Lonchura striata: one gene and its partner. The protein of the gene in region 1 purifies or fractionates together with the protein of each later gene. This does not show direct contact. Links are inferred from orthologs where the notes say so. Each region holds a gene or a part of one and is shown on either strand. Other genes may lie near its edges. The genes, in order: GLS and SIRT5.

The links.
Region 2: the proteins of GLS (region 1) and SIRT5 purify together in Homo sapiens (affinity purification with western blotting; 3 studies listed by BioGRID and IntAct, with this or other methods). This does not show direct contact. The link is inferred for Lonchura striata from reciprocal best matches to the Homo sapiens genes GLS and SIRT5.

The regions. Positions count from the first base shown.
Region 1 is NC_134610.1:30,519,994-30,535,008, reverse strand, and holds the start of GLS (glutaminase kidney isoform, mitochondrial), read left to right. Parts: upstream 1-9,376; coding exon 9,377-9,723; intron 9,724-15,015. UniProt on the Homo sapiens protein: Catalyzes the first reaction in the primary pathway for the renal catabolism of glutamine. Plays a role in maintaining acid-base homeostasis. Regulates the levels of the neurotransmitter glutamate, the main excitatory neurotransmitter in the brain.
Region 2 is NC_134603.1:88,961,234-88,976,137, forward strand, and holds the start of SIRT5 (NAD-dependent protein deacylase sirtuin-5, mitochondrial), read left to right. Parts: upstream 1-8,699; 5' UTR 8,700-8,871; intron 8,872-9,104; 5' UTR 9,105-9,128; coding exon 9,129-9,237; intron 9,238-11,294; coding exon 11,295-11,428; intron 11,429-12,900; coding exon 12,901-13,126; intron 13,127-14,523; coding exon 14,524-14,611; intron 14,612-14,904. Other genes in the region: kinesin-like protein KIF13A, read left to right, coding at 2,296-3,394, 4,219-4,505. UniProt on the Homo sapiens protein: NAD-dependent lysine demalonylase, desuccinylase and deglutarylase that specifically removes malonyl, succinyl and glutaryl groups on target proteins.

The DNA of each region.
Region 1 (15,015 bases):
CAGTTCAAGTTCTGGCTGGAAGGCGCCGCTGACTTTCTACGTGAACTCTGAAATAGGCACCCAAAGGTTACACCTGCAGCGGCTGCCTCTTACTCATGCCCTTGAACTGAGAGGGCCAGGAGGTAACAGAGGTAGGGACAAACCAGCTCTGTCCTGCTACGGGCAGGCTGAAACCAATCTGCTCTGCTGCTGCTCCCTTTGGAGCACAGCATTCCCAAGATGGAGTTTCAGCAGTACTCGACTTCAAAACCGGTCTGTGTCTGTCTGTCTGGGTGAGAGCCACCTGGTGACTATACTGCTTCTGCCTTCATCTCATGCATATGATAGTCTTGCAGTTTTTAAGATGGAGGTCTCAATGTGCCAGTAAGTGTGGCCTAGACATGAGAAATATGCAAGAGACAGAAATAAGCTGGCAGAAAAGCAGAGCTGTAATGCTATTAAAGGTGCTCATTCTTATTCTCCTCCTTGTAATGTTTATCTGGCAGCTTTGAAGCCAATTCCCTGCAATCTATTTGGGGATACAAAAAAAGGCTACCAACCTTTTTTCAGAACTACTATGTGGGAAGAGCACTGTTCCTCACAGTTTTCTTTTCCCATACAAGCACTTATCCTGAGCCAGACTCAATGCCATTCAGGTGGGGTGTGCCAGGCATCCAGAGCCTGGCCAATCCTCAGGAAGTGATCAGCAGCATTCTATCACACAGATCCTTCTGCTTGTCCTGAAGACAGGGTCATTGGACTGAGCTGGTGGATGTTTCAGCTCATTACCTTCCTAAGTTAATGGTTCTTGTTACTCAAATTAGTACTGAGACGTAAATCAACCTTTTCATTCTTCTCTGTTAAATAAAGGGTAAAATCTTTATATTCAGGTTGTTTCTAGAAGATTATTACTCACTAGCATGTGGTTTCATTTATTAGTTCCAGTTCTAGCAATCATTAACAACTACTCGTAGTTTAAGAATTACTTCTTATTTCAAAGGGTGGAATTTATTTGGCTTTACACCAAGGCAGGTTCAGTAAACCCTGCTAAGCAGTTACCTTTCTCTTCAATCATACTTCTGTGTAAAAAGGCAATACATTCTACTGCTTGTGCTTTTTCAACTCTGGATTTCACCTTTACTGTTAAGAAAACATGTTCACATATCAAACAATGTAACTAACAGGCAAAGCAGAACAAATGAATCACTATTTAGGTTATTTTTTTTTCCTTTTAGACTATGCTTTCCCTGTTAGAATATATCAATCAAAAGACAGAAATACAACTTAAAAGGTAGATAACCAGAAGAAAAATTTGCAGAAATGTGCAAGGTGAGATAAACTGGCTAGAAGAATTGCATGAAAACACACATAATGAAAGTGCAAGAAATGAAACAAATGTAACTTCTTGATTAAATATGACTTGATAGGGCATGTGTCTTCCTATCCTGAGAGTTTGTAACTGCTGAAGTCATGATACAGTAAGTCAGTACTGGGGAGGAAACAGATAGGTGTCTGGATGATGTTTTCCTAACCATAATTATGTGAATAATTACATGTATCTGTTCTACATGCCTTCTGGCCCAAAATACTCAATATAGTTCACTTTTTATTTGTTGTCTTAAAGCATTTTTAGCTGAATATATCCTCCCTACCACAGCTGGGCTGCTCAACTATGCCACTGTTCTCTGACTCTGTTTTAGCAGAGCCGATCCTCAAATATCCAATGAGACTTTAGTCAAACACAGCACATATAGCAAACAGCCTGAAAACAAAACAAAAATTTCTATTGAATGGACCACAGTAGGGCCTATTAGATTTGTTCTCAAATTAGGCCCATGATGTCTTGGGTGCTTAGTGTAGCGTATTACAAGGTGACTTTCTATGCAATGATATGGCAGAATAGATGTTCTTGTAACTCCAGAATTTGTATTTCCTTATATCAATATAATCATATTGTTCAGCTAGACAACTGGTTTTGCCTTATGCTTTATTATAGGGGTGTCTAGAATTGCCCAAATCTCCATTTGTTGAACAAAGAACCAGGTGAAACTTTATCTAAATATCCCAAATATCCAAGCCACGTGGTCATAGTTTAAAAACTGCCTGTGACAGGAAGGCTGTGATGTCTGTTATCTGACAACATCCCTTTCCTGTAGTACAAGGCCAAGTGTACAGAGAGAAACAAAATTATCAGCATTTCTTGGCTCCCGCTCTTCCTTTGAGCCCTTCTACAGCATGCTAAGTTAAAACACCTCAAGACATGTTTCACAGCCTTATCATGTGAAACTCCTCTTTCTCAAAGCAGAGAATGATGACCTGTCAATTTGTAACCCAGCTTGTTTCAGTTCTGTTTCACAGCTCAATAGCTGTCTCAGGACAACTGTGAGGGAGTGACAAACCATGGCACGTGCATGGAAATGAGTGATGTTGCCACCAGAGTTCATGTCATGTTAGAAACACACCAATTTCCACATGACAACCCAGTCAGTTGAGATAAAAATCCAATTAATTTGGTCTATTACTGCTATGAAAATTATGCTGAGAGCTAAACATACTATTTAAAAGCTAGAGTTTCTTGTCTTGTATGTTTTCCCATCAGCTCCTGACTTCTGTGAGATTTGTTTCAAGCCCTGTCTGAAAAGATGGAGCCTTATGAAGCAGTTAAAGATGAGGTGAAGAAGTTCTGTGACAGCAGTTAATGTTACCAAAGCACGAATCTTTGGCTTCCGCAAGTGTTTCAAACACACCAAAAATACCATGTAAAATTTTTCAATGTTTTTCTTCTTGGAGTTTAGAATGAACATCCACATGTTTAAGCAGCAGACTAGTTATTAGGAAAAACATGTACTTAATCCAGACTATTTTAAAACCTTCATTGCTCTACTTTTTAAATCTTGGGATTCAGTTTTGCAGATCTGCGGTTCCCTGGCCTACTGTTGTGGAACTGTTCAAAAGTCCTTGGATAAACATTAAATACCCTTGGAGTATGAGGGTACACTGTGTACTACTGGAAGTGCTGCTAGTCTTTCTCCCTTTCACCTCCCTAAGAAAGTTACATGTTTATAAAGAGAGAATTAGATGTGGGGGAAGGATGGAAATCTTTCAAGGTTACATCCTTCAAGAACTAAAAAACTTGTCTGTTTTCTCATTAGTCTTTATGGGATCTTTTGTTTTTAAGCAAACAGAAACGTAAACACTCTTGCAGCCTGGAAGGAGACTGGCCACTCACTGCAGTTGCAAAGGAAGGCTGAGGACTCAGTCACCTGAAGTGTACATTGCTCTTCCCTCAGTGCAGCAACAGAAATGAGAGGGTGCCAAAAATATCAGGGCAGAAAAAAACATGTGGTTTTGCTGATCAATTTGCCATTTCAGAGGTAGTGGGATTTTGTTGATGCTGGCATTATACCCTGTACCCAATCAGAGTGGTTTCTATATACTCCAGAGGAGTCTTCTGGAAGTGGAAGACTTTTAAACTATTTGGACTACCACTTATGATGAGACAGTTTCTATTACGGTCTGACTGCTTGTTTTGCTTGCTTAATTTTACCTTGTTTTCTCTGCTTAAGACTGGATGTTTTGTCAAGTTTAAGGCTCTACATGGCCACAGGTATTTGTGAAAGGGCAAAACCAGGGCTTTTCCTTCATGGGACAATTTAATGTGATGCTCTTTAATGCTTTGGCCTGAAAGCTTGCATCTCTCCAAGGGTCTTTTTAATGTGCTGAAATTCAGAGCTGAAAGCAGCCAGCTTAGCACAAGGGGAGGATGCAGCACACACTGGCTTCTCCATCACTTCAGGGCTGAGGTGGCACATGCAGATCATGGAATGGGTTTGGGTTGGAAGGGACCATAAAGATCATCTCATTCCAAACCCTTCTATGGAGAGGGCTATCTTTCACTAGACCAGGCTGCTCCAAGCCCCATCCAACCTGGCCTTGAACACTTCAAGGGATGTGGCAGCCACAGCTTCTCTGGGCAACCTGTGCCAAGGCCTTGTCATCACAAATGAAGAATTTCTTCCTAGTATCTGATCTAAACCTGTTCTCTGTCCGTTTGAAGTTCTTCCTCTTGTCCTGGCTCTGTGTTCCTTTGTCAAAACTCCTTCCCCATCTTTTCTTAAGGCCCTCTAGGGGCCTAATAACTAAGGTGTTAATGATCAGCCAGGGACTGCCCAGTGCTGTGGAGCTTTATACATGACAAGCCAGCTGGTGGTCAGCCCAAGTGCTCTGACCTCCACCAAATGCTGCCACCAATTTTCCATGTCTGCTCTCAAGAGCTGCAAGACATGAGTCTATGGGCTCCCCTGAGCTCCCTCATGCGTGCTCATCTCAGGTATATGATGGGGCAGTTGGATGACGTTGTCACTTGTTTCATTTTGCTTGCACAAGGTTACCTAGGCTGATATTTGACTGGGAATACAAACAGAAGATTTAAATTTGCTCACACTCACTGGCCTCTGTAAATATCAAGGCTGTAGTTTAAGAGATCTCACCAGAATTAAGCATTAAATGTGACTGTGGGTGGAATGCATGGGGTATGTAGCACTATGATTTAGATATATTGTAGAGCAAATAACATGCAGTGTGCTGGATGCAGCAAGGAATGCTTTTCTGTTAGCTTCTCAAGGTGGATGTTCTGAGGTGTGAAGAATCTTACATCTGAAAAACACTATGACTGATAATGAGCATGAGGAACAATGGTGCCCTCACCAAACAAGATGAAAGGAAGCAGGTTAACTAACAGAGTAATGGGAAAAAATAGTGTCAGTCTTTGCAGGTCATCCTCAATAACTCTGCTTCTGTAATTTGCTTGCTCTTGCCATGTATGCTAGAACACATCATATGCTGTCTGCTAACCACGCTAGAAATGTCCTAGGCCCTTGTAGGCTTTTTCCATGACAGTCTCAGAAAATCCTCCAAATATTCTTCCCTTTGAATTAATCCCTCACTGTCTCTGTTTGCCTGGAATGTGAGTGATATGAACTGAGCTATTGACTCATCGATGCGCTATGCAGGGAGGGCATTTTTGATTTTATTTTTATTGTTTTTCACTTGAGGTCACTCCCTCAGCCATTACTTTCCAGTTAAATAAATCCTCTGCATGTTTTCCCTCCTTGTTGGATTTCTGAGCTACGATGCCCAAATATTTGAACATTCATTTTCTTAGATTAAATAGTAACTATTTACTACTTATGCTTCTATGGTCAGAGGAGACTGTTCTGTATCCTCTGTACAATCCAACGGGGAATGTTTCTTGTGACTGAGCACCTTTCCCTTGAATCAATATAGAAATGTTACCCAAAGGTGCAGCAAGTTAGCCTCACAAAAGAAAAGAGTATTCTTAGGAACTGCTGCTAGAATGGGTAGAAATACTTGACTAGATAATAGTTGTCTCTGGTCCTTAGTTCTCTTCTGGAAAGCATTACCCCCTAACAAATGAAATGGAGCCAACATAACCATTTAAAATAGTAAAGTAAACAGTTCATGTCGTAGTCAAGATAATCCTTAATTTCTGCTGCTTATCTGAGATCTGCCCTGCTGATCTGATGGGAGGATTTAACCTTCCTGAAAGCTGTTATCAGTGTATGTGCTTGAACTGGGAAGACCTCTTTGCACCTGCTTTTCAGAGCCCTTTCTCCTAGGAGATTAATGCTGCTATGCCCCTTTTAGAAAGGAAAACCTCTGAAATATGGATTATTTTTAGAGAGCTATACAAAGAATATTTTGCTACAATACAGCTTAAGGAAAATACTTTAAAATAATGCCTATTTTAAAAGACCCTCTTTTTTTTTCTTTCCTGAAGAACCTTGTTGTTTTAAATTAAAATAATTTTTGTTTTACAAAAGAACATGTATAGTTGTGGAAATTAAAAAGAGAATAATTGGCTTATGGTTACTGCTGGTTGTGTAACCAACTCAAAATAAAAGCTATGGGGAATTTTAATTTCAAATTTCTTTGCTCTGTGTGGAAACCATTTTGTAATTTTCTGTTTCTCTTGGGATACTGTGTGAAACACAGAATGGCAGAGCAGATGGCTTGTCTTCTCTTTCCAAAGAGACAAGTAATATCACTGTGTTCAAAGGAGAAATCTAAAGGGGGTTTTGCTGGGATATGGGAAAGCCCAGTCTAACATCTGGATCAATACAAAAATCAGTGTCAGTTTAACAGGTTTAAATGTATAATGCTTTTCCCAAGCAAATGGTGGTGGTTTTGATGCCGTTTTTACTACATTTCTTATTTTAAATTGAAAAAAAAAAAAATCTGTCTTTAGATGAAGACTCTCTGGTATACCTGTGCCAGTGGGAGGATGGGAGAGAATCAGTGGGTGAAACGTCTCAGGCTTAGTCATAGTAGGAGCAAGGAGTGATGGCCTGAATTATGCAGCAAAAGTTCTCAGAATAGCGAATGAGTCACTATTGCCCTTGAACTTTCTGGATCTGAAACTATATTTATCATTTTGCATTGTTCCCAAGCTGTGTATTTGTAGTTCCACACACAGAGCAACTTGCATTTTCTGCCCTCACCAGTTAAAAACACAGACTGGGGAATTTCCAGGGAGAGAAGTCGAGGATCAATTTCTTTAAGTGAGTTTTAAGAAAAGCTTTAATGAAGAATACTTGCAGTGGGAGATGACTAATATAGTAATGTGAAGGTAGTATTAACTAAAAGGTTAAATACAGGAATAAGGCAATAGCATACAAAATAAAAAGAAAAAAAAATGAAGTGAGTAAAATTAAAGAGTTCCTGTAAGGTCAAGTATCATGGGGTACTGTTTTGAGAGGGAAATACTTTTGTGAATGCAGTAGCTTTTTCTTTTTCTTCCCACCACCTTATCTGAAATGTTCTGAACAGAAACCAGAGCACTAAAAGGAAAGGTCCAGATAATTACATTTTTCATTCTTCCACTTCTTCTCCCCCTACAATATAAGAAATGAATTAGACTAGTTTTTGCACCAGGTTGTGGCTAAACAGCTGGCTTAGAAAAAAATGCAGCTGTCACACTGACAAACAACCTTGACACTAAAATTCTGAATCTTGTAGTGTCTGCAGAACTATGTTCAATTAGTGACCAAATGCACAGTCTGGAAGAGACAGTCTTTGGTCTTAGAACAGCAGGCTCAGTAAAAAAAATGGAAGAGGTGTTTGAGAGACTTCTATCTTTAAAGCATTTTACATAACACAATTTTTAAAATGAGAAATATTATTATTGGGCAGCAGGATAAAAGAGGCAGTATTGGTTTGCCAAAAAGGACTTAGCAAATGGAAATCCAAAATCAGTTCCAGGAAATATAATAGGTAACGTAATAAGTATGTGAGAAATGCAGGTACTTTGCATTTTTGTATGTGAAGTTACTGCAGCACAGGATTACACATCCCACACTGGTATTTCAAGTTTCCTTGATCAGTGGGAAGCAAAACCATTGATGTGTGGAGGCTCATTTTATAGGCACAGATTATCAGCTAACTTTATATCTTCTTCCAAAAACCCTCATGGCTGTTGTGACAATTTATTAGCATAGGGAAATCCTGTGGGTATTTGTGCTGCCGGGTAAGTAGAAGCACAAGGCAAGACTAAACTCCATGTCTATATGTAGTTATCTCAGAGTGCATGAAAAATGGGTAACAGAACCTTCTCTGTTTTATGGGGGTCTTTACGAGGAAGTTACTATACCTAGACAGCTGAAACTTTCAATCTGGGGGGCGGTGGAAAACAAAATATCAGTATCTTCAGTGTAAAACATTTCAAAGAAAGTGTGTAGCAAGATCATTTTAACTCAGAATTGCAGCTTTTCCACCCCCACCTCTGCCAAACATAATAAACATACCAGATGAAATAAACCTCAATGCATGGGGAAATTGTTCACAAGGAAATTTAGCAGTAATAAACTCACAGCTCCATAAGTATTTACATTTTTGCTCTGAAAATTAAGATTCCTAAGCTGAGAAGACTAGGGACAATTAAAAAACTGGTTTGCATGTTGGCATTACTGAGGAAGTAGGATAACAGGAAATCTCATCTTCTACTCTTACCCATAATGGATAAAATTTGCTGATATAGATTTATACTCATCTAGGACAAATTTAGCAGTTGGTGATGTGAGTAAAGTTTCACCAAGTAACTGCAAAATCTGTGACTTCTAAAATGCTATATCCTGACAGCTGTGACAGAAGCTTAAGTGTATAAAAAGAGTGACATTTACACTTTGTGCTGAAGCCCTGCAGTTATTTTCTGCTACACTTTTGCTTTTAAGACTTCACAACCATGGGTCGGTGGCTCCCAGACTGGGACTGGAGGTGAGCAGCAGCAAAATTTCCACACTCTGATTAAATGTTTGATGATGTGAACATGAAGAATGGCCACACCCAGATCACCTAGGCAGCCAGGTGGTTGCTTTTTGTGGGTTTGTGTTGGGTTTATTTTTCTCAAAACCCAAAAACTTCAGACATTTGACCAAGACTTACAGCCTCCACTGTAAGTTTTAGCAATGAGCCATGCAGTTACCCTTTTATTGAAAATACTTGGAAACACCTTAGTAGCTCTGCTCCTTGCCGGAAGCGTTTGACCCAAAAAATGTGGAAACAACCATTCCTTCCAAGGGCATTGCCAAGAGGTTCCTGTTCCCTGAGCCCTTTCCTAGGGTGCCTGGTGGGTGACGCAGGCCCTGTGCATCCTTCTCTCTTCTCCGTGGTGACCAGTGCAGTTATGGCAGAGGTTTAGGCTGGGTACCAGGAGAATCTTTTGTTTCACGAAGGATGGTCGGACAATAGAACAGGCTCCCCAGGGCAGCGGTCACAGCGCCAGCCTGACAAGAGTTCAGCAAGGGTTCGGACAAGGCTCTCAGGCACAGGGTGAGGTTCTTGGGCCGTCCTGTGCAGGGCCAGGAGTTGGATTCGAAGATCCCTTCCCACTCGGCATATTCTGTGATCCTGCCGGCACGGCAGAGGCGGTGCACCTCGTAATCAAAAACATACAGTTTTTAAAAATGGCCATATCCATGGCAACCTGAACCCGACACCGCCGCAGCCCAGCCCGCTCCCAACGCCTTTACACGTCGCGGAGCGAGGGAGGGAAGGAGGAAGGGAGGAAAGGAAGGACGGAGCGAAGGAATGAGGGAGGGAGGCGGCGCCCCGCGCCCCTCAGCGCTCCGGCTCCGCCCGCCGGGGGCGCTGCTGCTCCCGCCCCGCCGGCCGCGCGCCACACCAGCGGCCCCGCGGGGAGACGCGGCCCGCGCCGGGGGCGTGGCGGCGGCCCTGAGTGACGTTCCCTCTAGCCAATGGGCGCGCCGCACGCCTGACAGTTAGGCGGGCTCGGCCAATGGAGCGGTGCGGGGGGCGGGCGCGGCGCGGCGCGAGAGGCGCGGCCGGGCGGCGCGGCGGGCAGTCGGCGCGGTGGCGCAGGATGATGCGGCTGTGGCGCTCGGCGCTGCTGCGGGAGCTGCTGCTGCTCGGCCCGCCGGGGGCGGCCGGCGGCGGGGCCCCGGCCCCGGCACCCGCCGCCGGGACCCGGCGCCTCCAGCCGCCGCTCGCCGCTCTCGGCGCTAGCCCGCCCGCCGCCCGCCGCGGCCCGGCGGCGCTGCCGTCAGCGCGGGGTCTGTGCACCCGCTCGGAGGGAGCCTTGGAGGAGCCGGGGAAGGGGGCGCAGGCGCCGTCGCCGACTCCCGGCGAGACCCCCGCCGACAGCGGCCACAACAATAACCACGGCGGCGGCGGCGGCAAGGAGGTGGCCGTAGGCGGCGGCGGGGAGAAGTGAGTGTGGAGGGGGCGGCGGGCGCGGGGGATGATGCGGAGGCGCCATGTGAGCGCCGCCTCTCCCCCGCACGCGTGGTGCCTGCGGAAGGGGCCGGGCCGGGCCGGGCCGGGCCGGGCCGGGCGGGCGGGCGGGCGCTCCCCCGGCAGGTGCGGGGATCCCGGGGCTGCCGGGGCCCTTCCCGGCCGCTCCCCGGGTGCCGCGGGCCCGGCCGGCGGCTCGGAGCGGGAGGGAGGCGCAGCCGCGTGGCGGGGGCCGTGTGCGCCCCCCGGGGCTCCGCTCACCGCGGCGTGGGGCCGGGCAGCGCCTCGGGCTTCCCCCGCACCCCCGGGCGTCCCTCCGTGGGGAGGCCCGGCGCAGGTGCTAGGGTGGCTCTGGTAGCGCTTCCACTTGGCTAAAAATATTTCTTAAGAGAAGCGAAAGCTGTGTCATCTCGCATTAATTATTAAAGGCAGTGTGCATGGTGCGTAGTGCTGCCTTGGAAGTTTTGCAGTGCTGTCTTCTCCGCCTCTGTATCCACACGGATGCGTTCCTGTGTAACCTGCCCTGGGGTGACCCAGCCTTGGCAGGGGCACTGCGGACTGGGTGATATCCAGAGATCCCTTCCAGCCCTAGCAATTCTGTAATCTAGTGCAGCCAGAGGCACACACTGCCATCCGTACGTGGTGAATACAGGTGTTTATAGGTGCTGCAGGATGCGTGCCTGTGCCGAGGTCCTTACTTGTCCCTTAGTGACATAGGTGTGTGCACGTAGTAGAAGGATAAGGCTGTATATTTCAATGAAGTTAATACTCCTTCATTCAGAAACTGAAATACTTCTTAAAAAAAAAGAACCCACAAAACATCAGAGACAGGTGTATCAGACTGGTTAGTGGATACGGGGGGGTTGGGTATAATGATGAGGTAAATAGTTTGGCAGAGCATTCTTCTCTGTTAGTCTTCAGCATTATGCAAGTCTTGAGTATTCATTTCCTACCACCCCTGCTAGGCTTTTTGAACCTGGGTACATTTAGAATCTCAAATAATCTTTTACCAGAAGTTTGACAGTTTAACTACAAGCCTCATGAAGACTTCTGCTTTGTATATGTTTGAAATGTGCCCCATGGTATTCTTGTAGGCACCCTGTGCACTGATTATGGGGTGGCATAATTGAAATTAAACCCAAGCTGTTTTCCCAGGCTTTGCTATGCTTATTACCTAGATGAAAAGAGCAAATGATAGAAGAATCAGGGCTGAGAAAGGAATACCTTGTTTTGATGCTGAGCAAAGTCTCTATTAGTTTGAAAATGATTCTACAAAGCCAGTCAGGAAGGCTTCAGCCCTTAGCTTGTTAATAGTTCTGCTTTTGAGTTGTGGTTTGTAGGGTTTATTTTAGCATGAATTTCAATATGGCAGGTGGGGAGAGAGGCTGTGACCTTGTTCTTCTCTGCCTTTTCCCCCCAGATGCGTTAGCTACTCAGCCTGCTTTAGTGGGGTACAGCCTGCTTTAAAGGCATCACCAGTTACTTCTGCTGTCAGATGCCTTAAAAAATGCATGCCCGTCAGGTTATGTAACTGTATGCAATATAATACACGATCATGATGGGTATTATTTTTAAATTTATGCTATTCAACAAATGCGAAGTCTCCTCCTTGAATTAGCTCTCTATATAATGTTTTGGAACAAAAAAAGTATTCTTCTATAGTCAAATAGTTGTGATTTATAAAGACTGCAATTCTGTTTTCAGGCAGAAATACACAAAGACGTTAAAAACTTTGGAAAAAAACAGCACGACAGCTGTGATGGTTTTTGAGGGTATTGCAAAAGTGATTTATTGAAGAGGTGACATTTTCTTAAACTGAGCTGTTATTAGCTTCCTACAGCTAGCATCGATTAGGGAAATTATTTAATTTCTAACATGTGTGGTAAAGCTACCAGTTAAAGACTTTTAATAATTTTTGGCTTTTGACAAAAGGATGTGTTTGAAAGTTAGATGATTGTTCTTTAAATCTTACTGCAAAATGAACAGGGAGAAATGCTGTAAAACATCTAGCATGAAGTTACAAACACAGAAAAAGCTAGAAACTTTCTTTAATTTCAGGTTGTGCAGGAATTCTTGGTGGTGCATTAGTCAGGCTGCTGGATACTTTCATTCTTACTTTTCTTGAAGCAGGACTCTGATAATCTTCCTTCAAGCATTTGTAAATGGTACATCCCATGTGGAAATCATTGGTATATTAATACAGAGTACAGGGTTGAGTAGAAAAGTGAGGTTCTTCAAAAGACAGGTGTCTGAACTGCATTGACAACTGGGCTAAGTCTGTGCAGTCTGTATTCTGCTGATTCCAGCACTTTGCCATGCATAGTGGCTTAACATTTGAGTGGTGTTTGACAAATGGTTTGTGGACTCAACTGGCAATAGCCTTTTTCTTTTTTAGTTAGTGTTGGTGGCTATTTTTTTTCCTATTTGAATATAAGGTCATGGTTCTGGTATACTGAAATAACCCATTATGTCAAAAGACAGCAGTAAGGTTTTCCTGTTGATTTGCTTTTCTAACACTCCTTGTGTACAGAGTAGGAGCTGTGAGTAAAAGCCTAAAATGTTCTGTGCAAACACTACAGAAATTGAGCACAGTTCAATTTTTCATAGTGAGAATAAATTTTGAGGTCTGTGGCTGATGAAATAACTAGTATCCCATTGCATAACCAGATCCTCTGGTGCATTTTTTCCCTAACATCTTCCACTATCTCCTTATCCTTGCTATCCAGCCTTCACACTGTGTATCCAACTGAAACTTAAAGGAAGAATAATTGAGTTTAAACTGAGAGTGGTCACAGACCAGTAAATTTAATTAACAGGATTAAAACACAATGGTATCTATGCTCATGCCTGCGTTACTAAAAAACAGCAGCCTAATACACTCCTAAGTTATAAATGTGTGTAATATTTTATATGCTTTATTCCTGCTTTCCATGTAACTCTTCTTCACTTGCTTTTACTTTCAGTGTAAGAGTTCCTCTTGCATCTTGTACTGGACAGTTAAGGGATGAAACAGTTTATCTTAGTAGAAGCTATTTCTAAATTAAAAAGGCCTTGATTAAGGTGAGAGGGAAGAGCAAAACGTAAGTGATCCTAACTTTTGAAAGCTAAATTGCTCACTTTTTTAGCTAGGTTGCAATAGTGCTAGATGCTAGTATATAGAATATCATCAAACAGTTACAGGAAGTGTTTTTTTTTTTTTTTTATGACAAGGAAGTGGTAGTGCCCTTTTTTAAGGGCAGGGATGAATTCTGAAAATTTGCTTTTGCAAGCCAGATAACAGAGGAATAACAAGTAACCAGGCAGTGTTTAATTTTGCTGATACTTTTGATGGAGTGTGGATACAATATTCAGAGATGCCAGAAACAGGCGTGCACTTTCATTAGACCCTTCATAACTTCTGTAGAGGCCAAGGTTTTGAAGCTAGAGGTTTTGTTTTTTCTTTTCTCACCAGAAGCACTTTGTTAGCTACTAAACATGTTTATCTTTGGTCTGAGTTTATAAATATGTAGTTTGCTCTTGCACCTTGGTAGTTCCTGGGTGAATAGCTGCCCACCTCTGTTATGGGACCAGTGTCTCACTATAGGAGTGGACAGAAAGCAGTTACTTACTGACTGGACCAGTGTTGGAGATACAACCAAGATATACAGCATCTGTAGCATGGTGACTTCTTCAAGGTGCCTGTCTTAGTCAGAGTGGCTGCTGACTGTGACTTGTAGCTTCCACAGAATCCCAAAATAGTTTGGATTGGAAAAGACCATTTAAAGGTCACTTAGTCCAAACCCCCCTCTGCAATGAGCAGGGACATCTTCAAGCAGATCAGGCTGCTGTGAGCCTCATGCAATCTGACCTTGAATGTTTCCAGGGGTGGGGCATTTACCACTTCACTGGGCAGCCTCTTCCAGCATTTCACCACCCTCACCATAAAATTTCTTCATTATATCAAATATAAAGTTGCCCTCTTTTAGTGGAAAACCATTACGCCTTGTCCCATTGCGACCCTGCTAAAAGCCTGTCCCCATCTCTTATAGACTCACTGTAGGTACTGAAGGGCTGCAGTGAGGTCTCCCAGGACCCTCCTCTTCTCCAGACTGAGCAACCCTAGTTCTTTGAGCCTTACCTCTTAGGCTGGAGGTGCTCATCCCTCTGGCCATCTTGGTGGCTTCCTCCAGACCTGCTGCAGTGGGCTGGTGTCATTCCTGTGCTGAGGGCCCCAGAGCTGAGTGTAGTACTCTCTGTGGGGTCTCAGCAGAGCGGAGCAAAGGGGAGAATCCTCTCCCTTCACCTGCTGTCCACACTGCTCTGGATGCAGCCCAGGAAACATTTGGCTCCAAGTGCCTGTGCCTGGGTCGTGTCCAGTCTCTCCTCCACCTGCACCCACAAATCCTTCTCGGCAGGACTGCTCTTCATCTGTTCTTCCCCCAGGCAGTGTTGATTCCAGGAGTTACATGGCCCGGGTGTAGAACCCTGCACTTTATCTTGCTGACCTTCACGAGCACCTGAACAAGCTTCTTGAGTGTGTCCAGGTCCCTCTGGATATTGGCCCATCCCTCAGGCTTGTCACCTGCACCACTCAGCTTGGTGTCATTGGCAGACTTGCTGAGGCTTCATTCAGTCTCACTGTCATTATCATTGATGAAGATCTTCAATGGTTCCTGAGGGACCATTGTTTTGTGACAGTAATTGTAACCTCATTTTTATGACTGGTGTAATATTTGTTAATAACACCTGAAACTATTATTAGCAATATCATATTTTAATATCATTTGTTGTTCTGTAAATCCTGTTCTACATTTTGGCAGTTCTGTCCTGAAGTACTGAGTAAGAATCTTCCAAATCTTCCACATTATTCGAAATTTAATCTTGTTTTTATTCTAGAAATTCAGCATCTGTTAAAATGAAGTCCCCCCACCCCAGAATCTGGTGTAGACATTGTACTGATGGAAAAGGAGGAACTGAAAGAAGGATTGCAAAATCCTTGTGCTTGGAATTCCTATGTTGGTTTTTCTTTGTATTTTAAAAAACAGTCCACCAGTATTGTAGTACACAGATTAGTATACTGCCAAAGAAGTCTAGTTGTTTAATAGTATTTTTTTTTTTCAAGAAGGTAAAGAAATATCAAAAGTCATTATTCATGAAATAGGTGAACTGGAATTTCCACTTAATTTGACTGTGAAAATTGCAAGTCCCCTGACCTGAAAAACAGCTTTTTGCATGTGTGGAACAGAACTATCTTGCTAAGTGTGTTCACAGTGCCAAAACACATCTTTT
Region 2 (14,904 bases), on another chromosome or scaffold:
TTTTTAATGTTTAAAAACACTCCCAAACTATAAGGTTCTGCACAGAACAAAACTTAGTTTTGCAAAAATAAAATTGGTAAAAGGGAAGCAGTAAGCAGAATGATTGAGAAAACATCCCTCAGAGATGAGCAACTGGTATCCTGCAATATGCAAAAAAGATGCTTTGCTTAAGGCTTTAGTGCTTGGAAGGATATTCATAGTCTCAATAAAGGAAGTATTATTTTTTTTCTTCCAAAGGTAATGTGGATTTCAGATGTAAGTAGCAAGATTTTCAACAGTATAAATAATACGCAGTAGTCTTACATGACATTTCATAACACTATTGCTCCTCTTCAGAGAAATAAATAATTGCAAATTAAAGCCTTCATGCAGATTCTGTATGAGAAATAACTCTGAAAGAGTGCTGTGAAAATTAGAAAGCAAAGGATACCGAGACTTTACGTGAGCAGATATTAATAATCTGAAATGTGGTTGGATTTGTCAGATATACTTAGACAAATAGAAATGTCCTCTTCAGATATTGATCGCTAATATTATTGAAAATATTGAATAATCTTAAAAGTCTATCCTGCATGGGTAATACTGAATTATATTTCCTATGAGTTTGCTATGAGTTTGAACATGGTAAGAATGGACATGAGACCTTGTTACAGATAAGGGCTGTCTGACAAATGGGGAGAGGCTGGAATACCTGGAGCTGTTCAGCCTTAAGGAGACCAGTCACAGGGGCATTTTATCAATATATAAAAACACCTGATGGGCCAAGGCAGAGTCTTTTCAGCAGTGTCCAGTGATAGGACATGAGGCAAATCAAAACACATGAGATTCCATATGACCACAAGATAGAACAAGAATACACTTTTTCTGCTGTGAGGGAAATGAGTTGTGCAGAAAGGTTGTAGAGATCTCAAAACTCACCCAATTGGACACTGTCTTGGACAACCTGCTCTGGGTGACCCAGCTTGAGCAGAGGGGAGATTGGGCTAATTGGCCTCAAGAGGTGCCTTCCAATCCAAACAATTCTGTGATTATTCTGACATGGGCAAACTGAGGAAATCTTATACAAAGTTATTTTGAGCAGTCTTGGCTATTTTGAAGTGAGGAAATATTTTCAAGAGGATGTTTAAACTGATGTGTTGGTATTCTCTGGTCATCTGGTTAACTGTTCTGCTTTTCCTTTTACATTGGTGAATCACAGCAGGTGTCTGAAAATATCCAGGTGCTTCAGATATCACACAGGATCTGCCTTGATCAGAATTTGAAATCTGTGATGCAGATAAAGGAACTGAGAAATAATGGGGGCTACAGTTTCTTTAAAGGACTTCAGCAGTTTTCATTTTTCCTAAAATAAAATTATTTCTAATAGACATTTCCTGTAAACTAACAATTTTTACTATATATGTATGAGTATACATATACCTATGTTTATACCTGCATATCTATGTGTAAATGAAGACACAGATGTATATAAAAAAGGAAGTACTTAAAAAAGCATTCATGTGGAGTCCTGCCTGCAATATTTTATCTTGGAGGAGCAGCCCTACCATGTTGACAGAGTCCTTCTCAGATTCATCTTTACAGACTGAAGTTCTCAGCTTCAGATGGAGTCTGTGAAAGCCACATCTGTGGTCTGGTCAGGGTGGATCCCCACACATCACCAAGGAGAAAATCAGGGAGGCATCTCCAAATTCTATTAGGGTGATTAGTGTCACCTATTTCCCTCCAAACACAAACACGTGTGCATAGAAATGCTTCCTTGAAGATCTGCTGTAATATTTTATCTTTTTGCTTGTATATTCAAACATCCTGAACATGTTCACCTGGGGTAAGCAAAATTATTTAGCCTTGCTGATATCAGGTTAATAGAAAATCCCACTGTGCAAGGTTGTTAATCATCCCAAAGTTTTTAATAACCTGTATTGCAGCAGGGACTTCTTAAGGCCTTTACCCTTCATATTTGTGTTTATCTTGTTAGGTAGTGAATTAACCCTATAAAATACCTTCAGTGTGTTTAATTAGTCTAAATCATGGGGAAAAAAGTTTGTGTATCAAAATAATAATTTTCAATATAAAATATTGGTTTATATTTCCTGAACTATTTAGAATTTATTTTCTAAAAATTGAGTAGCTCAGTGTAGATAGGATACATTTCCAGCAGCTCTTTTCAATGAGAATAAAGAATATTAAAGGTATATATTTCTCTATGCTCAGAAAGATAAAATCAAGGATGGTTAGTTTATTTTGGAAACCTCACTGTCACAGGTTCCTAATCCTAATTCCTCTTCTCATTTGCAGGACTCTGAGGAGGAAGACAATGAGTTGGAGGCCATTAATAAGAAACTGATAAGTCCACAAAATTTTCAAAATTTCCGCCCTTACGTACCGGAGGAGTTTGCTGACTTCAGTATTTACAATGCTAGCCTAGAGAACAGGGAGTGGTTTTCCTCTAAATCAGACTTCATGAGCTCACGTGTTCTTGAGAAAGAGGTGTCCCGCAGTCCTACCACTAGCAGCATCACTAGTGGCTACTTTTCCCACAGTGCCTCTAATGCCACCCTGTCTGACATGCTTGTTCACTGTAGTGATAGTACAGACCAGCTAGCCAGTCACTCCAAGGAGCTGGACTCTAGTGATCCCTCGGGATCATCCCTTGAACATGATTTAAAATCTTCTTTGAACAAGGAATGTCGAGAATCAGAAAAGGAGTTATCAAGAGAGAAGTTACCTGTGGTACCACTGAAAGGAAACAGTGCCTTAACAGAGCAAGTACCACTGTCATTCAGTGCCGCTGACAGAGACTCTCAGCAGCTACCCAGAGCTGGATCCCTCTCAGCTCTAAGTTCCTTGGATGGCAAAAACACCATCGAATTTTCAGCATGCGAGGTGACAGTTGAGCACACGATGGACGTTCTGGAAGATCACTCCTTCACTGAATTCATGGGTGTTGAAGATGGGAAGGACTTTGACCATTCAGCAGCTCCACAGTTGTGTTCCCTTCTGTCCTCTAATGGAGCGAGCGCCTCGGAGTCACCCCGAGGCCCTGGCAAGGGTCAGAGCCCATGCACAGGCCAGCAGAGCTCTGCAGCAACACCAGCTGACGGCTGGCTTGCGGATGCTGTGGAAAGCCCTTTTTGTTCTGGACTGGTGAAAGACCCTTCAGACCCTGAGACTTATCCCGATGCTTCCATGGACGATTTTATTATGAAGGACCATTTGGATGGTTCTGATTGTGAAGAAGGTGCTTCTGCAGATCAAGCCCACATCTTGCCAAGCTGGGTGGCTGTGGGCGAGCAAGTCTGTGTTGGAAGTAATAAAATGGGCACAGTGAGATACGTTGGAACGGTGGATTTTTCAGCTGGAATATGGGTTGGAGTTGAGCTCAATGTTCAGCTGGGTAAGACTAAATGTGTTCTGGGTTATCTATGCAGCTAGTATGACCAATTTTTAAAGTCATAGTACAAACATTACTTCCAGTTCAGTCATGGGAAGTACCTCCAGTTTCAGGAAGCTTGGTATCTGATACACCCAAATCACAGCTTTCTGGTTGTAGAGATGCTCTGATCCATTTTTAATTGTCTAAAAGCTCTGCTTTTGCATGTTGTGGTAGTTCCCTGTTGGTACCCATCTGTTTTTACAGATCAGAGAAACAATGTTTTTTTAATAAGTGTGCACACATTCATGAACAGTACTAGCAGTGTGCATCACTTGTCAGATAGGTTTGCTGTCAGTGACTTTTAGAGATCTATTGTTTTCCACTGGGGAAAGATGAATTCCAGAACACAGGCTTTCTGTTACTTCATTTCAGAGGGGTCAGAAAAAGTCAGTGCTCTGCAAGTGTTAACAAACTTCTACAGAAATGGTTCAGGTCATTTAAAAATATGTTTTTAGTAGTTTAACAGGTAATATCACTTATTTGTCTCCAGCTAAATTTTGAGCTTTGCAAGCAAAGTTTATTTTGCAAAATGAACACATGCTTGGCTTTTTAAACTATTAGTTAACAAAGCAATATTTTAGAAAATCATCTTTTTGGTCACATTTTAAGCCTTCCTTTCCAAGTTTTGTTCTCCCTAGTGTATGGTAAGCATCTGGCTCTGTCACTCAGCAGGAGCAATCTTGACTATTTGACAGAAAATGAAAGCTATTCACACTTCATCGCCTCAATTGTATGTGTTAATGGCAGCACCAGCATTTAATCCTGTGCATTTCTTTCCATTGAAGGGAAGCACGATGGAATTGTGAAAGGCAGAGAGTACTTCCACTGCAAACCACGACACGGTGTTTTCGTTCGTCCCGGGCGCCTCAGCAAAGCACCAGCTCCCGCAAGGAAATGGAGTAGCACTTCCCGTTCTCAGGCACCTTCCAGTTCAGAGAAACGGAAGAGTTCTGTGCTTCAAGGCTCATCAGCCACTCCCAAGACAGGAGGAGACGTCCTCTGCCATTCAGGAGATGCAGCAGCTTCTGCTTTTTCTAGGAAACAGGAAAACAGGAAATCTTGGATTAACTAAACCACAGTATTTTTGCACTTACTACACGCGTCACTGTGTAGAAAACTTTATGGATTTTTGAAGCTATTGTACATTTTAACCTGTCCATATGGAATGTGTATTCTCTAGAGTCCTTGACTTAATTCTCTAATTTTTTATAAATAATATATATATTATATATATATATGAATGTGTATCTATAGATTGTCTGCCAGTAGGCAGATATGGCTGCACACTAAAACACAGTTAAAGCTGATTGTAGATAACTGAGGTACTGGACTATTTGTTACACAACAACTTGGGAGATATATTTTAAACAACAAAAGATATTTTATTGAGGAAAAAACAGGATGTGAATCCATTTTGGAAAAAAGACCCAACCGCTGTTCTTAATTACCAAAGAACTTGTTTTAGACTGACATATTTGCTGTTTATATCTTTCTATTGTAAATGTTTTAACTGGTAACTTGGTGCCATATTCCTTTCAGTCACTGGGCACCATGCAGCCTTCCATGTTTAAGCACACTGAAATATCCAACTGCTTCATATGTTTTGTCTTCCTTGAGGCCTGCCACTGTGCTGACTTGGCATTGGAATGACTGATGATGCCTGAAGCTATGAGTCTGGCATTTCACATGTTAGCAAAAGCCAGCTGGGCAGTTTGACTGCAGAAACAGTATTACTCCAAGGGTGTGAGAGGACAACATTCTGGGTTTTTTAGGGGTTTTAGTTTTTTTGGGTGCGGGGTGGGGAGAAATGGGAAATAAAGAAGCAGTAAATGGATCATGACTGCAGACTTTGCACTTGTTACTTGCTGGTTTATTATCAAGATGAAATAGAACCTGCTAAAGTAATTTTAATCTGTAAAGTTTATTTTAATAATGGAAATGATGGAGGGATTTATGTCTGGTGCTTATGAATTCCTAAGAAGGTTGTTCCACATGTAGATACTGTAGATGCCTGTACAAGTGTTCTGGATATTTGTAAAGCAACATGGTAAAAAATGAGTGAAGTGAATGGCCTGCTGTATCTTTTCTTTGTTCCTTAGCAAGTGAATGATTGAGATACCTGGGACCTTACTGAAAAGCTGCTGTTCTTTGATTGTTGTGTACAATAAGCGGACTCTCGTATTTTACTATTTACTGTAAAGACCTGTAATTTATATATTGCCATACTGTATTTAATTGGTGCAGACCTGTTGTGTGTTAGAATACAGACTGTTTACTTGGGATTTAAAAAAAATGTGTTACTTGTGTTCGGTACAATTAGGCTTAATGCTCAAAGAGGGAGCTGTTTCTAGCTGGTGCTGCTCAGATGCAAAGGACTTGGTAAAAATGCTGAAGGCTAGTGATGTTGGAGTGGAAGACTAGAGGGTATGAACCTCTCTTACCACTGAGCCTCAGAGAAGAGCAGCCCCTTTGAATACACATTCCTCACCTTCTGCTTTCCCTGTCCTTCCCAGGAGAGGGAGCAGAGGTGGAGAACTCCTGCCAGAGAACAGAATCCCGATGGTCAAGGGGAGATGGGACAAGTTCTTGGAAGACAGATAAGAGAGGATCATTGCTAAATATATAAAGGCCCCAGCCGCTGGCATCTGGGAGGGCAATGTGCTGGAGGAGGCAGTGAAAGGAGGGGCTGTGAAGTTCAGTGTACTTGCCCTTGCCATGGCTTTTGTCCCTTCTAAGACAGGATTCTTAAGTGTTAATTGATTTTGAAATGTGTATCTTTGCAGAACAGTTCATGCTTCTGGTGTCCACCTTGAGTTGCTCTCACTGCATTAATGACACTGCTGCTGAAGGAAAACTACTGTAATAGAAAAAGATTTTATGCAGAATTATTTTATTGGGCACAGATGATTGTGGAATACTGCCAGGTATCAATGGCAAACATGCCAGCATCTTGAAGTTAAGTTTAGATGTCACTTTAATATTTTTATAAACATTTTAGGAAATCTACTTACACATTGGCATTAAAATATTTTTCCAGGATCAGTACAAACAATTTGGAAAATCAGTGTGGCCATTTTCTTACGGCACACATTCAGTAGTTACACCAGGTTAGCAAATCAGCCAGCATCATCTGGGCTATTCATTGTTTCAGGCTTTGGAAACACTGGGATAATTGTGCTCTTGGAGTAGGCATTCTGTATATGCCAAAGAGACGAAAGCAAGCCAGCCTTGTGTCCTTCTGTACCCATTTCACAAAAACTATGCCATGGTGAATTCTGGTTTTATTAAAAAACCTGTACTTTTGCAAACCTTGCAAGTGAACATGCCCTGACCTGGGTTGATGTAAAATTAGGAGCACAGCTGACAGGTGCAACAATGTGATAGGAAGATGAAAGCTCTTTGGTTGATGTGCTCCTCAAAATTCTAGTACAGAAACAGAATCTTTTTTTTTTTTTTTGTTAGCGATGTTAGACTAGGATTCTGCTGGTTTGAACTTTGGATTCAAAGTGGAAGAAAATTGTGGTGATAGTGCAACTGCAAATTGCTTTTTTTTTTTAAGATTAAGTAGCAGCTAAAATACACTGCCTAATAAGCACAGTGTAGCTTATTAGACAGTCTGTACAGTGTACAATCTGTAGCAAGATGTCAATTAAAAAAAAAAAAAACAAAACACCAATTATGATAATGAATAACGTTATGCACAGCCAATCCCTCATTCAACAAATCTGCCATCCTGTTTTCCCAGTCTGCACAGAATTAATGGATTTTGACATCAGGGTCGTTAGAATGCTAAGTAAGATCACGCTGGCTTTCAGCTTGTTTTCTGAGTTTATGACGCGCTGTTTTTCCGAGCACGCTTACTTTCCTGGAGACACGGAGGGCTCGGGGAGCAGCTGTGACAGCCCACCAAGCACCAGCACAAGCGTTTAGTCAGCAGCGCTCGCTGTCAGCATTCCCCCACCAAAGGCTTCCCTCGAGTTTGCAGCTGGAGGCAGAGTACGAAGCGCCGGTCCTCTGTAAACAGCACGGAGTGCCGTGGAGCAGTGTAACGGGGGGTGTCGGCTGCCAGCCCCTGGGAGCAGCAGGGCTGTTCCTGCCCTGCGCTCGGGCGAGCTCGCTCAGGTAACTCGCCCTGTGCCGGCGGCAGTGGGGAACCGGAGCTGCCCCCGGCGCTGGACAGCCGGCAGACTCGAAAGAGCTCGGGGCTTGCTTTCAGCCTTTCCCCTCTCTGGGTACGTGTTTTGGGGGCCTCTTCATCTGCTTAGCTGGTCATTTACGGAATCCAAAGGGAAGGGAAAATGTGGCAAAACCTCTGTCTGAAAAGGACCGCAATGATTAAGGTTGTTGGGGAAGGGTGGGGAGGAGGCGGCTGGATGAGAGCAGGCGCTGCCTTCTTTATGCACCAAAACATGCTAAAAACAGTGTTTCCTCATTAAAAAATAAATAAATAAACTGTGTGCTGTCCAAATGCAGCGGAGTTCTCATGCGTGAACTGCGAACGGCCACGGGCGGACCGCAGAGAGGAATGACGCTGGAAAGCCACCCAGCTTCCCTGACCTATTTGCGTCTCATTCCAGCTGATACGCTCCGGCAAGGCGCAGGGACAGCGCAACGCCGGGGAGCGACACGCGGCTGCCTCCAGTGCATCCATCCACCATCCCGTAACGCCGCGGCCTTTCCCCCAGGAGTGCGGGCGGGACGTGCGGCGCCGCAGGCCCGGGGCGAGGCGCCGCCCGGGGCGGGGCGCGGCGGGCTGGCGTGAGGCGGGCGGAGCCGCGAGTGAGGCCCGCGGCCCCGCCTCCCCTCACGGCGGCCCCGCCTCCCCTCACGGCGGCCCCGCCTCCCCTCACGGCGGCCCCGCCTCCCCTCACGGCGGCCCCGCCTCCCCTCACGGCGGCCCCGCCTCCCCTCACGGCAGTCCCGCCTCCCCTCACGGAGGTCCCGCTTTCCCCTCACGGCGGCCCCGCCTCCCCTCACAGCGGTCCCGCTTTCCCCTCACGGCGGCCCCGCCTCCCCTCACAGCGGCCCCGCCTCCCCTCACGGCGGTCTCGCTTTCCCCTCACGGCGGCCCCGCCTCCCCTCACGGCAATCCCGCCTCCCCGCACGGAGGTCCCGCCTCCCGCACGGCAGTCCCGCCTCCCCGCACGGAGGTCCCGCTTTCCCCTCACGGCGGCCCCGCCTCCCCTCACGGCAGTCCCGCCTCCTCTCACGGCGGTCCCGCTTTCCCCTCACGGCAGTCCCGCCTCCCCGCACGGAGGTCCCGCCTCCCGCACGGCGGCCCCGCCCGCCCTTGCTGCCCCTTCGCCCTTCTGCGGGCCGGCAGCGGCACGTAGGCTCGCCGCCCCCGCGGGTCCGTCCCTCGCCTTTCCCCTTTCTCTTACCATGCCGGCGGGTCCTGGGAGCCGCCTCGGGTTAGCAGCGCAGCTCGGGAGCGTGGCGTAAGTTGAACGTCGGCCGAAAGCCCCGCTGTGGAGCGGGGCTGATGTGCCCCGTTCTGAGCAAAAGCGGTGACCCCGGCCCCAGGGTCCGGGCTGGGGGATGGCTCCGTGTTCTGCAGGTGCAGGAGGAATTCCGTGTTCGCAGCTGGTTCTCCAAGGAGAGCCCCTCACGGGGAGCTGGCAGAAATGCGCACCCTGCCTGGGCCGCTGACGTTTGATTTATTTCTCCCCAGGTGAAACACTTCCGAGGGATCCCGATGTGTCTGTTCCAGTCTGCCGCTAGAAGGCTGGTTCCCCAAGTGCGTTGTGGACTTAAGGCCTCGTCTTCAAAGAAGTTTGGCTTGGAAATGGCCCGTCCTAGTTCAAGTAAGGCGTGTATTTGTTTGCTTTAGCACCCCGGACAGCTTTTTAAGGTGGATTTGAAGTGCTAGAAGGTGTTGTGTGCTAGGTGAAATCCATGGCTTAATTAAAAATGTTTAAAACAGTTGAGGTTGCTTTATTTGTCTCCCAGACTAGTAAAATTACCTTTCTACGACTGTATTCTGTATAGTTCCATAAACTGTTACAGTCATCATGGTTACAACATAAACACCTTTTTAATGTTTATAATTTATGCACATAAGTATGCAGTGGTTAATTGCATTTCCCTTTCATAATGCTAATGAGTAATAAAACTAATTCCTCATTTCTTTGTACAAGAATGGGCCTTGAGTATTTGTGACAGTTCAGGAGCTGGGTAACCCCAGGAGCCCTGTTCAGACTGGGAGTTAAGGCTGACCTCTTTTCACCTGTTTGGGGGTGTTTTGGTTTTGTTTTTCAATTTGACAATGTGCCTTAACTTGAAAACTGCACACAGGTACAACAGCTACTCCCTAATGTCAGGTGGTCAAGGCAAACTTGCTTTTTCTGCTGCCTTGAGCATCAGGATTTGGCTGCTGCCAGACACCTGTCTGGGAGGGCTTTTGGCCTGAGCTTTACACATCAAGGGCTTGTGAGGTTTGGTTTGCAGCAGCAGGTGGGGCATCAGAATAGGAGTGTTCTCTGCCCAGTCCAGGGGCTCTGTACTGTGGGTCTTTGGGACCTCTCCAATGGCTCTTTCTCCCTACAGGAACTTACCTGTCTTTGGGTGGGCTTTTGTGTGTATAGGGGGCAGGGGGTAGTTTTGATTTCTATCTGAAAGACCACCTAGTAAATTGTGAGGATTAGGGTTGTGGCGAGCAGCTCAAAGCTGGAGGCTGCCCACTCATGGGACACCATAGGGAATCCATACTGAGGTCACTGTTGTTAAACACCTTCATTAATGATCTGGACAATAGATTGGAGTGTATCCTGGGCAAGTTTCCACATAATATGAAGCTGGGAGGAGTGGCTGGTACTCGGAGGGTCCTGCCCCTGGGAAGAAATAGACCCAGGACAGGCTTGGGTGACCAGCTGGGCAGGAATGTCCCTGGGGATCTGGTGGGCACCACGTTGGCCTTAAGCCAGTGATGAGCCCTTGTGGCAATGATGGCTCCAGGGCAATGCATAAAAACACTCCATGGTGTTTGTCTGCTGTGAGGTGGCCAAACAATGGATTGAATTGTGCAGGAAGGTTATGGAGTCTCTGTCCGTGTCCATACCAAAAGCCACCCCACAGAACACTGTCCAGAGCAGTCTGCTCTGGCTGACCCTGCTTAAGGAGAGGGGGTTGAACAAGACAATCTCCAGAGGTCCATTCCCACCTCAGCCATTTATTTTGTGATTCTAACCTGTGTTGCTTTAAAATTCATATCTGAGGTAAACTGCAAAATATATTTTTCTTGTCTGTCTGCAGCTAACCTGTTCCTCTTTAATTTTGTCTTGACTCGCATAAAAAGGCAAAGGAAATTTTCAATCTTTTTCCCAAACTACCATGCAGGGGAAAGTGGTGGGAATAACACATTAAAAAATATAAAATACAGTTGCAAATCTAGAAAACAGAAAAAATGCCTCAAAAGAAAGCACATTTTCCCAAATTACCTTAATTTTGAAGGTGATACTTCATGGAGAAAAAAAACAAACAAAAACAACAACAAAACAAATGTATTTTTTTTTATCTCAAGATTTTAGTAACAATTGGGAAGCAAACTCTTCCTGGGTGGTGGTGCCAACAGTTGTTATTGGGGTAGCATCTAATGTGGGGTTTTAATTAAAGACTCTGCCTTTCCAGTATTGACTATAATAATGTTTAGCACATCCTGCCCTACTGAGCCTGCTCAGACACATATTTTGAGAATCTCCAGAAACTGCCCTTTAAATTACAACATAGAGAAGTTCAGGAACCAACTGTTATTCCAAAATTAAAGTCATGGGAGGTGTGTATGGAAGTGTGAGTGTGGCCTCTTAGGTGAGAGTGTGAGCGCCTGAACAGCTCCTTGTTTTCTCGTTTCCCTGCCCTGGCACAGACATGGCTGATTTCCGAGAGGTGTTTGCCAAAGCCAAGCACATCGCCATCATCACCGGAGCCGGGGTCAGTGCCGAGAGCGGTGTCCCCACCTTCAGAGGGGCTGGAGGCTTCTGGAGAAAGTGGCAAGCCCAGGTAGGTACTGGTGGCCCATGCCTCTAGGGCCACCTCTGTGTCCGTCACACAGGTGAGCATGGAGGGTCAGGAACAGGTGGAGGAAGAGGGTGGATATTGTCCCATCCAGTGCAGCAAGGACAGAGCTCTCCCTACAGCTGCCCCTGCAGCTCTTCTCTGTGCTCTTGGGGATCTGCTTCTGTCCTTCAGTTTATCAGCTGCTTGGGAAAAACAACATTCTAGCAGGCAGCTCTGGGTCTTTAAACCATCCTTGTTTTCCTGCAGTTCAGCTTTTTGCTCATCTTTTGACACCCTCACTGTTTTCCTACTGTGTGGGGCCTTTCCTGTTTTAAACTCTTTAGCATTTAAAACAAACCAAAATACCAAAGGAAGAACTGACAAAAGAGACTGGCTGTTTTCTTTTAATTTTGGTGTCTCAGAACACCCTTTAAAAATGCTTTAGGACTTGCTTTATTTTAGGGCAGGTTCTTTAATTCTCCCACAGGCTGTCTCTCTTGCTGTCATGATCTTGCCAGCACTGAGAGCCACAGGGGTGGGAGAGGAGGTGGGAGCAGGCACTGGGACTACAGCTGAAGGCACCAACAATGTGAGCTCTGTGGGGGCTTCATGACTCTCATCCTGCTGGTGCTGCAGGTGTTTCAGCAGCTGTTCTGCTGTCACTACCTGCTACCCCAAATGCTGCAATCACACCTGCTTTCTTTGTGGTTTTTAATTACAGCATTCCTGAAAGATCCTGATGTAGCTAAAAAAGTGTCAGAGACATTAATTTTTGAAACTGGTTTGAATCTAAAGATGAGTTTTTTGCTTTCAAGTGATCATCAATTCAAATAAAGCATGTGTGTGTTTAAATGTTTGGTCCTGCTGCATCAGAAACGTGCATTTAGTTTCTGTGTCAGCAGAATTGTGCACTGAGTTACTGGACTGAGCTGCACCTCGTTTTTGAGAAAGAGAAGGCAAAATTAAAGTTAGTGTGAAAAGCAGGTTCAATTTTACCTGCATACAGAATACAAGATGTTAGACTTTGGTTTTGACAATGGATATAATTTGGCTTGTGTTAACACTTAAATTAAAGCAGAAAAGAAATTCCTAGCAAAGGAAATATATTCACATGATGCTGTGTTTTGTGGCTGCTGTGGAAAAGAGAGTTGTGGGTGTGCATTGGAGTATCTCATCTTGCTTTGTGCTAAGCTCCTAATAGTTTGGTAGGTCAGCACAGAGTATGGTTGGAGTGTAGTGTAAACCCACATACCACACTATTTCTGTAAGTTATTTGCTCTTTTGGTCTGACACTTTAACGTGTCACCCTTGTAAGGGCTGTGGACAATATTCTTATCAACTGCACGTGGTTATAGGTAATCTGCTTTTGATGACCTTGTGATGCAGGCAGCAGTATAAATGGCAGAAATCCAGCAGGCTTCAGCTGGGGAAGGGATTCTTCTTTCGTTGTAGGACGACTGTTATGTCTTTTGCAGGAGCTGGCTACTCCAGGGGCTTTTGCACGAAACCCTTCCCGTGTGTGGGAATTCTACCACTACCGGCGGGAAGTGATGCTGAGCAAACATCCCAATCCAGCCCACATTGCCATTGCAGAGTGTGAGAAGCGTCTCAGCAAGCAAGGAAGGAGTGTTGTGGTCATCACTCAGAACATTGATGAGCTGCACAGGAAGGCAGGCACCAAGCAGCTCTTAGAAATCCACGGTAAGAGTTGGGTCACGTCTGCCATAGGCCAGGAAACCTGGGGTGGGGAGTGGGAAGAAGGGAAAGGGAGATAAATACAAAGAGAAAAGAATTTTGTCTTATAATTACAATAACTTGCATAAAGTTATTTGCAATAACACCCTGTTCTCTTCTAGAAGTTGTTTCAGGTACTTCATATCTTCTCTTTGTTCCTTACCTTTAGGATCACAGAATCTCATCTTTCTGTTTTTAATGTATTCTGACAGTACACAGGAACTGGTTCTCCCTTTTTGCTTGCAGTTTTCCACCGATCTGCTTGAATGCATGTGGCTGTCACACCTGGGTGATTTCACTTAGAAAAGGGGAAAAAAATCCCCAGTAATTCCACTGTGTGGTAGTGGTGGTGTCAGACTGCCACCAACAAAGGGTGTATTGGAAGCCTGGCTTCATCAGCCCTGGTGCTTCTCCTCTGTCCTGCTCTGTCCTGTCCTCACTTGTGCAGTCCTTGGCTACAGGAGGACAAAGGGACTGGAAACAATTGAGATTCCCTTACCTTTCTTTCCTGCAGCCAATGGCCCTCCCCTTCTCTTCCCTGTAGTCAGTGGCATTCCTTACTCCCACAAAGTGCCAGAAGAGCACATGCAGATGCAGCACCTGGGCATCAGTGGGGGTTTGGGATCTGAGGAGATGTACAGGTATGGAGAGAAAGAGGGTCTGGAAGCTCTTCTCCATCCTTGGAGGTGACTCCACTCATTTCTCCACTCCTCAGGCCCTGCCACAGGGTGGAAGTCTCCCAGGACAAAGATCCATCCTGGTCCTCCAGCACTATGATGCTTTTTAACTCGAGTATCACTAAAGGTGTAAATGGAGTTTCCCACCACCACTTCCATGCTTTGGGCACAGGAATCCTGAAACCTGCACAAGCTGTTTTGCAGTTGTGGACCAAATGATGAAGCCTTGGCAACAGTTTAATTTTGGTTATTTGCATTCCTTACAAAATGGACACAATTTTTAGCTCTTGGCTATATTGCCTATCTTGATGGCACGTTAGTAATGCTACAAAAGTTTTGGGAGAGGAGTTTCGCATCAAACAAAAAAGGTGTTGACCAGCGTATTTTGTTTTAAGAAATTGTTTCTGATGTAAGAGGAAAACCAATAAACAGAAATCATCCCCCTCAGTGATATTTTAAATTATGATTTTCCTGCAAAATATGTTACGGGACTGTGTATTACTCATGTCCTGAGGCAGAACAAGGTGACATAGTGGAACTTTGCTGTTGCATTCCTTTTTTAAGTTACCCACAAGGTGCAGCCTTCAAGGTTTGTAAATAAAAGCTGCCCAGGATAAACACAACCACTTGCCTGCACAGCCACACCTCAGAGCTTCATCCCTGATGTTTCCTCTTTGTGTGTTACAGGTAGTTTATTTAAAACTCGGTGCACCAGCTGTGGAAACGTGGCTGCGAATTACAAGAGCCCAATCTGCCCCGCATTGGCTGGGAAGGGGTAATCCATTCTTTCTTTTGCCATTAAAAAAGGAAGTGAGCAGGGAGATGGGCCAGGCATATACACAAAGAATTTTTAGGATTTTTTTTCCTTTTACATTTTACCAGACCATTAGATAGTTACATAAATAATTGTTGTGCCTTTGGCAGTCTTGGCCAGCTTATTACAGTTGCTCAGCTCCAGGATAATTCTGGACAAATTCCTGCTTGCCTTGTGTATGGTATTTTAGGATTGTAGTAGGTGTTAAAGTTGGCTGAAGTTGCAGATTCTTTGGAGGGTGTGCTTTAGAGATT